Linked DNA regions of Macaca fascicularis. The protein of the gene in region 2 purifies or fractionates together with the protein of the main gene of each other region. This does not show direct contact. Links are inferred from orthologs where the notes say so. Each region holds a gene or a part of one and is shown on either strand. Other genes may lie near its edges. The genes, in order: ING1, PCNA and POLN.

The links.
Region 1: the proteins of PCNA (region 2) and ING1 purify together in Homo sapiens (affinity purification with western blotting; 3 studies listed by BioGRID, with this or other methods). This does not show direct contact. The link is inferred for Macaca fascicularis from reciprocal best matches to the Homo sapiens genes PCNA and ING1.
Region 3: the proteins of PCNA (region 2) and POLN purify together in Homo sapiens (affinity purification with western blotting; 4 studies listed by BioGRID, with this or other methods). This does not show direct contact. The link is inferred for Macaca fascicularis from reciprocal best matches to the Homo sapiens genes PCNA and POLN.

The regions. Positions count from the first base shown.
Region 1 is NC_088391.1:101,295,718-101,298,876, forward strand, and holds the end of ING1 (inhibitor of growth protein 1), read left to right. Parts: intron 1-677; coding exon 678-1,381; 3' UTR 1,382-2,512; downstream 2,513-3,159. UniProt on the Homo sapiens protein: Cooperates with p53/TP53 in the negative regulatory pathway of cell growth by modulating p53-dependent transcriptional activation. Implicated as a tumor suppressor gene.
Region 2 is NC_088384.1:82,160,864-82,164,615, forward strand, and holds the start of PCNA (proliferating cell nuclear antigen), read left to right. Parts: upstream 1-1,250; 5' UTR 1,251-1,410; coding exon 1,411-1,631; intron 1,632-2,343; coding exon 2,344-2,441; intron 2,442-2,532; coding exon 2,533-2,600; intron 2,601-3,752. UniProt on the Homo sapiens protein: Auxiliary protein of DNA polymerase delta and epsilon, is involved in the control of eukaryotic DNA replication by increasing the polymerase's processibility during elongation of the leading strand.
Region 3 is NC_088379.1:2,363,051-2,366,702, reverse strand, and holds part of POLN (DNA polymerase nu), read left to right. Parts: intron 1-2,218; coding exon 2,219-2,719; intron 2,720-3,652. UniProt on the Homo sapiens protein: DNA polymerase with very low fidelity that catalyzes considerable misincorporation by inserting dTTP opposite a G template, and dGTP opposite a T template. Is the least accurate of the DNA polymerase A family (i.e. POLG, POLN and POLQ).

The DNA.
Region 1 (3,159 bases), on a different chromosome or scaffold from region 2:
GGAATAACATGCTAGAATAAATGTGGGGACTGAAACTGAGGACCTAACACAAAGTAGCCTGGACCTTTGCTGTTAACCCGGTTCTTTAAATCATAGAGAGCTATTATATACATTTATACACGTTCTCTAATTTAACAGGATATTCTAGATGTTGGTATGTTAAAATAGAGACCTTTTTTATTTGAAATATTCAAATAATTTATATTTTATCGTTTGTATATTGTGTATAATGTAATAAATACCATGTTTATATATAACGTTATATGTATATTAATAATTGCATTCAAATAGAAACATTTGAGTAAAAATGATGGCAGTATAGGACATAATCATTAATAGAAAGTATTAATACAGGTTGGGTCCCGAGCACTGCACCTCATTTAAATGTTTCCTCTTAATGGCTTCGGGCATTGTCACCCGTGCGTAGGAACTGTTCTGTGGTTCTCTCTGGGATGGCTGGAGCGGCTCCTCTTCCTGTGGGAGCTCTTCTGGCATTTGCATTTAGTTCCAGGGCACAGGAACAGAGAGGCCCTGGAGGGCCTGTGGCTGGTGGGCTGGGCAAGCCGTGCGCTGGCCCCTGGGCCCCCTGCCAGCCCTCTCCGTAGACCCGGGTCCGGGGCCGTGTGGGTTGTCCCGATGTCCTGCTCGCGAGTGATGCCTGTCCTTCTTGCCCCCAGAGATCTTGAAGGAGCTGGACGAGTGCTACGAGCGCTTTAGCCGCGAGACGGACGGGGCGCAGAAGCGGCGGATGCTGCACTGTGTACAGCGCGCGCTGATCCGCAGCCAGGAGCTGGGCGATGAGAAGATCCAGATCGTGAGCCAGATGGTGGAGCTGGTGGAGAACCGCACGCGGCAAGTGGACAGCCACGTGGAGCTGTTCGAGGCGCAGCAGGAGCTGGGCGACACAGCGGGCAACAGCGGCAAGGCTGGCGCGGACAGGCCCAAAGGCGAGGCGGCAGCGCAGGCTGAGAAGCCCAACAGTAAGCGCTCGCGAAGGCAGCGCAACAACGAGAACCGCGAGAACGCGTCCAGCAACCACGACCACGAGGACAGCGCCTCGGGCACACCCAAGGAGAAGAAGGCCAAGACCTCCAAGAAGAAGAAGCGCTCCAAGGCCAAGGCGGAGCGGGAGGCGTCCCCTGCCGACCTCCCCATCGACCCCAACGAACCCACGTACTGTCTGTGCAACCAGGTCTCCTACGGGGAGATGATCGGCTGTGACAACGACGAGTGTCCCATCGAGTGGTTCCACTTCTCGTGCGTGGGGCTCAATCATAAACCCAAGGGCAAGTGGTACTGTCCCAAGTGCCGGGGGGAGAACGAGAAGACCATGGACAAAGCCCTGGAGAAATCCAAAAGAGAGAGGGCTTACAACAGGTAGTTTGTGGACAGGCGCCTGGTAGTGAGGAGGACAAAATAAACCGTGTATTTATGACATTGCCGCCTTTGTTGAGGTGCAGGGAGTGTAAAATGTATATTTTTAAAGAATGTTAGAAAAGGAACCATTCCTTTCATAGGGATGGCAGTGATTCTGTTTGCCTTTTGTTTTCATTGGTACACGTGTAACAAAGTGGTCTGTGGATCAGCATTTTAGAAACTACAAATATAGGTTTGATTAAACACTGAAGTCTCAGACTGATTTCTTGTGGGAGGAGGGGGACTAAACTCAACCTAACACATTAAATGTGGAAGGAAAATACTTCATTTAGCTTTTTTATTTTAATAAAAGTAATATTACTTTACGAACAAATTTTTTTAATTGGCCGGTCGCCAAAAATACAGCCTATAGTAAATGTGGTTCTTGCTGCCATGATGTATATCCATATAACAATTCAGTAACAAAGGTTTCAAGTTTGAAGATTATTTTTTAAAATGGTAAATGGTTAAATTTTACATGATAGATATTTTATATTTTGGCCTGTTCCCCAAATGGCCATTTTAAAATGCTTGGGTACACTTCTCTTAAACAAGCGGTCTAGTCAAGGAACCTCAAGTCATGCTTTTGCTATCACGAATCATAGTGTAGCCATCTTTAATTTATATCAGATGTATAAATGTACATTTCCAAGTGAACTTGCACTTGCTATATTATGATTGGAAGTGCAGTCAGCAGATGCTGTTGTGAAGCTAATGTCACAATTATGTGCAAAGGTGTGCTTCCTGCTGTATGTGAGCTGTAAAAATGTTACGTGAAGAAATAAATGAAACTTGGCCAGTTTGTTCCTCTAGTAGTATATTTAATTTTGACATAAGTAACTTTTAAAATTTGTCTTAAAAATTTATACACCAGCAGTTTAGACGAAGCCTTAAGTAAATTTTGTATTATTGTTCTCACTTATTAATAATGAAGTTACCTAATTGCCAGCAAATAAATACGTGTCAAAACAGAATCTGTATTCAGACCCTGGGTCAGGAAATTACTGCCCACTTGTCAAGTCCAGTCCACCACTTGTTTGAACATTATATGGAGTTTAAATTCTAGTGTCCATAAATAAAGTTTCGGTGGAACAGAGCTGTGCTTATGTGCGTATGTATTGTCTGTGGATGCTTTTGCAAAATGGCAGAGTTCATTAGTTGCAACTGAGACCTTTTGAGTTGACGAGCCAAAACTATTTTCAGGCCCTCTGCAGAAAGAGTTTGCTGACCTCTGATTTAAACTGGCATCTAACATTGATCTGCCCACATATTGAAAGGGTCAGTGGAGTTTTCATTTGTTTTTTATTTTTTTGAGACGGAGTTTCGCTCTTGTTCCAGGCTGGAGTGCAATAGCGCGATCTTGGCTCACTGCAACCTCCGCCTCCCAGGTTCAAGCGATTGTCCTGCCTCAGCCTCCTGAGTAGCTGGGACTACAGGCACCTGCCGCTACGCCCGGCTAATTTTGTATTTTTAGTAGAGAACACAGTTTCTCCATGGTGGTCATGGCTGGTCTCAAACTCCCGACCTCAGGTGATCCACTCACCTCAGCCTTCCAAAGTGCTGAGATTACAGGTGTGAGCCACCGTGCCTGGCCGGAGTTTTAATTTCTTTCTTTTTTTTTTTTTGAGATAGAGTCTCGCCCTGTCTCCAGCCTGGAGTGCAATGGCGCGATATTGGCTCTCTGCAACCTCCGCCTCTCGGGCTCAAGCGATTCTCCTGCCTCAGTCTCCTGAGTAGCTGGGA
Region 2 (3,752 bases):
AGGAAAATAAAGATAAATGAGCATGTTCATACACAGTCTTGGCTAGAATGTAAATTGCAAACTTTTAGAGATTTAGTAACATTTATCAAAAATTTAGCCGGGCATGGTGGCACATGCCTGTAATCCCAGCACTTTGGGAGGCTGAGGCGGGTGATCACCTGAGGTCGGGAGTTTGAGACCAGCCTGGCCAACATGGTGAAACCCCGTCTCTACTAAAAAAAAAAAAAAAAAAAAAAAAAAAAAAATTAGTCGGGCGCGGTGGTAGGCGCCTGTAATCCCAGCTACTTGGGAGGCTGAGGCAGGAGAATCATTTGAACCTGGGAGGCGGAGGTTGCAGTGAGCCGAGATCGCGCCACTGCACTCCAGCCTGAATGACAGAGCAGGACTCCATCTCAAAAAAAAAGAAAGAAAGAAAAGAAAAGAAAAAAAATTAAATGTGTACGCTCTTTGACTCAGCTGTATTACTTCAAGGAGTTGATAGCACCAAAATTGCCTAAGTGCTCAAAGGTGTTTGTAATTAACAGGAGATTGATAAGTTACATACATGTGATGCTATCTTTTAAAGAGGTACTGATATAAAAAAGATGTACGTGGCATAAAATTAAATGTACTTTATTAAGTACTTTTTCGAAGTGTTTACGGAATGAGTGCATTTTGAAAAAAAAAAGTGTATTCGAACTTTCAAAAAAGCTTTAAAAGCTTTATACAAGGAACGATTGAGTGATTATAAGAGCTGGCAGTGGAATGTTAAGAGGTGAGAGGGAGCTAAGTTTAACATAACTCTTTATGGTGTGACACTTAGGAGCGCATCACTTCTGTAATTGAAAAATAAAGTGCATATTTGCAGCAGCTGTACTCTTCAGGCTACAAGGAGGCTTTTCCTCCCGGTAGGCTGGATTTGCTTTTCACTTTCACTTTCGTGGCTGGAAACTTTCTACCCACGGAGCTGGAGGCTGAGGAGGCACCATAAAGCTGGGGCTTGACGAACCGGGGCCTGGGCCGGATCCCCACATATGCCCGGACTTGTTCAGTGGTCAGGTTCAGGAGTCAGGCGAAGAGGCGGGGAGACCTGCGGGACGCTGCCCCGCCCTGCACCCGCTTCCTCCAATGTATGTCCTAGGGGGCGGGCCTCGCGGGGAGCATCGGCACGATTGGCCCTAAATTCTAACCCGCCCAGGCTGTGGGCCGGGCAGCGTGGTGACGTCGCAACGCGGCGCAGGGTAAGAGCGCGCGCTGGCGGACGCGGCGGCATTAAACGGTTGCAGGCGTAGCAGACTGGTAGTTCTGTTTCTAGGTCTCAGCTTCTCGTCACGACGTTCGCCCGCTCGCTCTGAGGCTCCTGAAGCGGAAACCGGCTAGACTTTCCTCCTTCCCGCCTGCCTGTAGCCGCGTTGCTGCCACTCCGCCACCATGTTCGAGGCGCGCCTGGTCCAGGGCTCCATCCTGAAGAAGGTGTTGGAGGCCCTCAAGGACCTCATCAACGAGGCCTGCTGGGATATTAGCTCCAGCGGCGTAAATCTGCAGAGCATGGACTCGTCCCACGTCTCCTTGGTGCAGCTCACCCTGCGGTCTGAGGGCTTCGACACCTACCGCTGCGACCGCAACCTGGCTATGGGCGTGAACCTCACCAGGTGAGCCTCGCGGCGCCGAGAAACCGGCCCCGGCCCACCCCCACCTCCGGGGTTTGGCGGGATCGCTTCCGAGCCGAGCCCTCATTGGCTGGCGTGGACCATCCGCACCTTCTCATTGGCCTGCCATGCAGGGGGGTGGGGCCCAGCTGAGCGCGCGGTTCGGAAAAGCCCGCGCTGGCTGCTGCGCGAACCTGCTTTTTCGCGCCAAAGTCACAAAGCGGGTGGTGGCGGGAAAATGACTGGTTTTTCTGCAGTGCCAGGAACACTGCTCCAGAGCTTTTGCTCACTAAATCCTGTTGGCCTTGAATGGACGCTTTAGTTGTGGCTTTTTTGTTTCCGAGACGGTCTCGATGTGTTGGCCCGGGCTGGTCTCCAACTTCTGGGCTCAGGCGATCCTCCCGGCTCAGTCGCGATTGACTTTAAATGCTTTATAATGTGCCCTTGCGAGAAAAGTGTCAGCCTGTCATCCTACTTAGTGGCAGGAGATTGTTTCTATCCAGAAGGGAAACTGCTGGTGGTATTTTAGTATAAATACTGCCAGATGCATCCCAAAATGTCTGCATTAATATTCGCATCCTCCAGCAGTGCAATTACCCTCCACCAGTTCTGAGACGGCCTATGGGTGAGAGTGGTAACCCCTTCTAACTGCATTAGAAATACAGACCTTCAGTAGATGGTGTTGATTTTAAACCATGTGTCTCCTGTCTTCTAGTATGTCCAAAATACTAAAATGCGCCGGCAATGAAGATATCATTACACTAAGGGCTGAAGATAATGCGGATACCTTGGCGCTAGTATTTGAAGCACCCAGTAAGTCGTACCTTTTTACTGAGTTATGAAGCTACAGAAGATCGAAACTCTGTGCCAGTGTTTCTCAACAGCATTTGCTTTTTTTTGGTAGACCAGGAGAAAGTTTCAGACTATGAAATGAAGTTGATGGATTTGGATGTTGAACAACTTGGAATTCCAGTGAGTATCAGTTTCTGATTGTAGCGACTGCTGTACACAGGCATGATAGTTATGTCATAGAATGTTGTTTATTTTTACAGACAGGGTCTTCCTCTTTTCCCCAGGCTGGAGTGCAGTGGTGCCATATAGCTCACTGTAACCTGGGACTCCTGGGCTCAAGCAATCCACTTAGTCTCCTAAGTGGCTAGGAAGGACTACAGATCTGTCCCACCACGCCTGGCTAATTTTTTTATTTTTGTGTGTGGGTGTGGGGGCAGTCTTGCCCAGGCTGGTCTGGAACTCCTGGCCTCAATGATCCTCCTCCGTCAAGATAAGTTAATATAATTTAAGCCTACTTCATAACAGAACTTTTTCTAGAAACATATCTACTGGTGCATGTTTTAAAGAGATTTTAGTATTTGGATAGTTGTTTACCACAAGTCTAAAACTCACTGGTTAAATTTATTGTTTACTGCCAGTTGTCTATTTGCATTAATTTCCATGAACCTCTTTTAAAATTTGCTTCCTTCTAGGATGGTTGGTTTTGTTTTGTTTTGTTTTGTTTTTGAGGCGGAGTATCGCTCTGTCGCCCAGGCTGGAGTGCTGTGGCCAGATCTCAGCTCACTGCAAGCTCCGCCACCCAGGTTTACGCCATTCTCCTGCCTCAGCTTCCCGAGTAGCTGGGACTACAGGCGCCCACCACCTCGCCCGGCTAGTTTTTTTTTTTTTTTTTTTTTTTGTATTTTTTAGTAGAGACGGGGTTTCACCAGGTTAGCCAGGATGGTCTCGATCTCCTGACCTTGTGATCCGCCTGTCTCGGCCTTCCAAAGTGCTGGGATTACAGGCTTGAGCCACCGCGCCCGGCCCGATGCTTGGTTTTTATTAAGTGGGTTTGAAAGCTATCTTAGAAGAAATGTATCCAGGTTAGGTTTATAAACACCAAAGGAGAGAAGAAATGTTGGAATGTTGAAAATGCCTAATATCATATTCTCTCGTTTTCTTTTAGAAAATAGTTAGACCTGCTTGCGCCGTCATCATTTCTGTGGCATACTCTAATGTTCTCTTACTTTATCCCTGGAGGATGAGGAGGAGGAGGCGCTTGTTCCCTGGGCAGTGCATTTAATAGCCATTTATTTTTTTTGAGTGGAGTTTGTTAAGAAATTACACGAGTCA
Region 3 (3,652 bases), on a different chromosome or scaffold from region 2:
AAATGTAATATTAATATAGTCATTCAAAGCAACATATATATATATGTGTGTGTGTGTGTGTGTGTGTGTGTGTATATATATATATATATATATAAAATAAGCCTTGACTGGGTACGTTGGCTCACACCTGTAATCCTAGCACTTTGGGAGGCCAAGGCAGGCAGATTGCTTGAGTCCAGGAGTTTGAGACCAGCCTGGGGAACATGGTGAAACCTCACTCTACTAAAAATAGAAAAATTTGCTGGGTGTGGTGGTGAACCCCTGTAGTCACAGCTACATGGGAGGCTGAGGTGGAAGGATCACCTAAACCAGGGACATGGAGGTTGCAGTGAGCTGAGATTGTGCCACTGCACTTCAACCTGGGCAACAGAGCAAGACCCTGTGTCAAAAAAAAAAAAAAAAAAAAGGAAAAGAGAAGAAACCTTAAAAATAAAGTGTTATCATAAATAAGTTCTATAATGAAATGGATAGGATTGCTTTCCCCACCTTGATTAGTTTGTGGATCTATGAATGTATATTGTACATTGATGGAATGAGAATGAGACAGGTAGAGAACTGCTATTGAGTTGGGTTTAATTTTTTTTTTTTTTTTTCAAGACAGAGTCTTGCTCTGTCACCCAGGCTGGAGTGCAATGGCATGATCTTGGCTCACTGCAACCTCCACCTTCCGGGTTCAAGCGATTCTCCTGCCTCAGCCTCCTGAGTAGCTGGGATTACAGGCATGCGCCACCATGCCCAGCTAATTTTTCTATTCTTAGTAGAGACGAGGTTTCTCCATGTTGGCCAGAATGGTCTCGAACTCTTGACCTCATGATCCGCCCACCTCAGCCTCGCAAAGTGCTGGGATTACAAGTGTGAGCCCCTGCGCCTGGCCCCAAAAATTTTTTTTAGTAGACAGATTAACATATTATTAAATAGTTTTGGTGATTTCATTTTCTCTATAAATGGTCTTTTTTTTTTTTTTTTTTTTTTGAGACGGAGTCTCGCTCTGTCGCCCAGGCTGGAGTGCAGTGGCCGGATCTCAGCTCACTGCAAGCTCCGCCTCCCGGGTTTACGCCATTCTCCTGCCTCAGCCTCCCGAGTAGCTGGGACTACAGGCGCCCGCCACCTCGCCCGGCTAGTTTTTTTGTATTTTTAGTAGAGACGGGGTTTCACCATGTTAGCCAGGATGGTCTCGATCTCCTGACCTTGTGATCCGCCCGTCTCGGCCTCCCAAAGTGCTGGGATTACAGGCTTGAGCCACCGCGCCCGGCCTATAAATGGTCTTTACTTGGAAGTTGTAAATTATTAATCTTCTCTCTTATGCACATATGCAACATATTCCTATCCATGACATCTCTCATTACGTGCATTGATTCCCAGAACAGGGGCTTGTTGGAGGCTTTTGAGCTTTTTTTTTTTGAGACAGAGTTTCATTCTTGTCACCCAAGCTGGAGTGCAATGGTGCAGTCTCGGCTCACTGCAGCCTCCACCTCCTGGATTCAAGTGATTCTCCTGCCTCAGCCTCCCAAGTAGCTGGAATTACACAGGCGCCTGCCACCATGCCCAGCTAATTTTTGTATTTTTAGTAGAGACGGAGTTTCACCTTGTTGGCCAGACTCATCTCAAATTCCTGACCTCAAGTGATCCACCTGCCTCAGCCTCCCAAAGTGCTGGGATTACAGGTGTGAGCTACTAGGCTTTTGAGCTCTTGATCCAGATATGCATGCCTACCTTGGTTGAGAAAAATCACTGCTCTAGAAGACACTATGTGGTTTCCTTAGAAGGTTTGATTATAGAAGCCGGGCGCAGTGGCTCACGCCTGTAATCCCAGCACTTTGGGAGGCCGAGGCAGGTGGATCACCAGGTCAGGAGATAGAGACCATCCTGGCTAACACAGTGAAACCCCGTCTCTACTAAAAATACAAAAAAAAAAATTAGCTGGGCATGGTGGTGGGCGCCTGTAGTCCCAGCTACTCGGGAGGCTGAGGCAGGAGAATGGCATGAACCCAGGAGGGGAAGCTTGCAGTGAGCCCAGATCGCACCACTGCACTCCAGCCTGGGCGACAAAGCCAGACTCTGCCTCAAAAAAAAAAAAAAAAAAGAAGTTGTGATTATAGATAATATGAAGATTGTGTCTCTGTATTACTTTAGACAAGTTTTTACCAGAAATTAGTTTGGTTTATAAATCTGTCTTAGGAATCCATATTCTAATGAAATATTTTCCATTTTTCTGTAGAATCTTAAATCTTTAAGAAGTCAGACATCAAGAGGTTCCGCTAAGCTCTCTCCTCAGTCCTTCGGTGTCAGACTCACAGATCAGCTATCTACTGACCAAAAACAGAAGAGCATCAGCTCATTGGCTCTTTCAAGTTGTTTAATTCCACGGTATAATCAAGAGGCTTCAGTTCTACAGAAAAAGGAGCATGAAAGAAAGCATTTCCTAATGGAGAATATAAATAATGAAAATAAAGGAAGCATTAATCTTAAAAGAAAACATATTACATATAATAATTCTTCAGAGAAAACAAGTAAACAAATGGCATTGGAAGAAGATACTGATGAGGCTGAAGCCTACCTAAATTCTGGGAACTCAGGAGCATTGAAAAAACATTTTTGTGATATTAGGCATTTGGATGATTGGGCAAAAAGCCAGCTGATTGAAATGCTCAAACAGGCAGCAGCCCTGGTGGTAACTCTGATGTATACTGATGGTTCCACCCAGTTAAGAGCTGACCAGGTTAGTAAACAGTGATGGTTTTTGTTTGCTGTCTTGACACCATAAAAGAAGCCCATTTTCTTAGTGTCTGATTTTGATAGGAGAGCTAGAAACAAGATTTTAAGGCTTTCCCTCCCCTCCAGTGGTAAGTGATTGACAATGGATAGCTCCCATCGGTTTCTTAGGAAACTGCAAAACTGTTTTCCAGAGTGGGTGTGCCATTTTACTTTCCACCAGCAGTGTACTAGGGTTTCAAATTCTCCACCTCCTTGTCAACACTTGTTGTTGTCTATTTTTTTTTTATTTTAGCCATTTTAGTGATTCTGAAGTGGTATTTCATGGTGGTTTTAAATTGTATTTCCCTATTACCTAGTGACATTGAGCATCTTTTCATGTGCTTATTGGCCATTCGTATATCTTCTTTGATATCTTCTTTCTGTTTTGATGATTTGATGAAATATCTGTTCAAATTTTTTGCCCATTTTAAAATTGGGTTATTTGTGTTTTATTTTGGATCTGTAAGCATTCTTTATACATTATGATACAAGTCTCTTATAAGATATAACATTTATACTTCTGCCAATTTCTGGCTTATTTTTAAAGAATTTATTGAGGGTGTCTTTTGAAGCACAATATTTTAAAAATTTGATCTCTGTTAATTTTTTAAAAAAATCTTTCCCTCCCTCCCTGCCTTCTTTCCCTTCCTCCCTTCCTTCTTTCCCTCCCGCCCTCCCTCCCTCCTTCCCTCCCTCCTTCCCTCCCTCTCCTTTCCTCTCTTTTCCTCTTCTTTCCTCTCCTTTCCTGCACCCATCACCCAAGCAGTATACACTGCACACAATTTGTAGTCTTTTATCCCTCACCCCCTTCCCACCCTTTCCTCCTGAGTCCCCAGAGTCCATTGTGTCATTCCTATGCCTTTGCATCCTCATAGCTTAGCTCCCACTTATGAGTGAG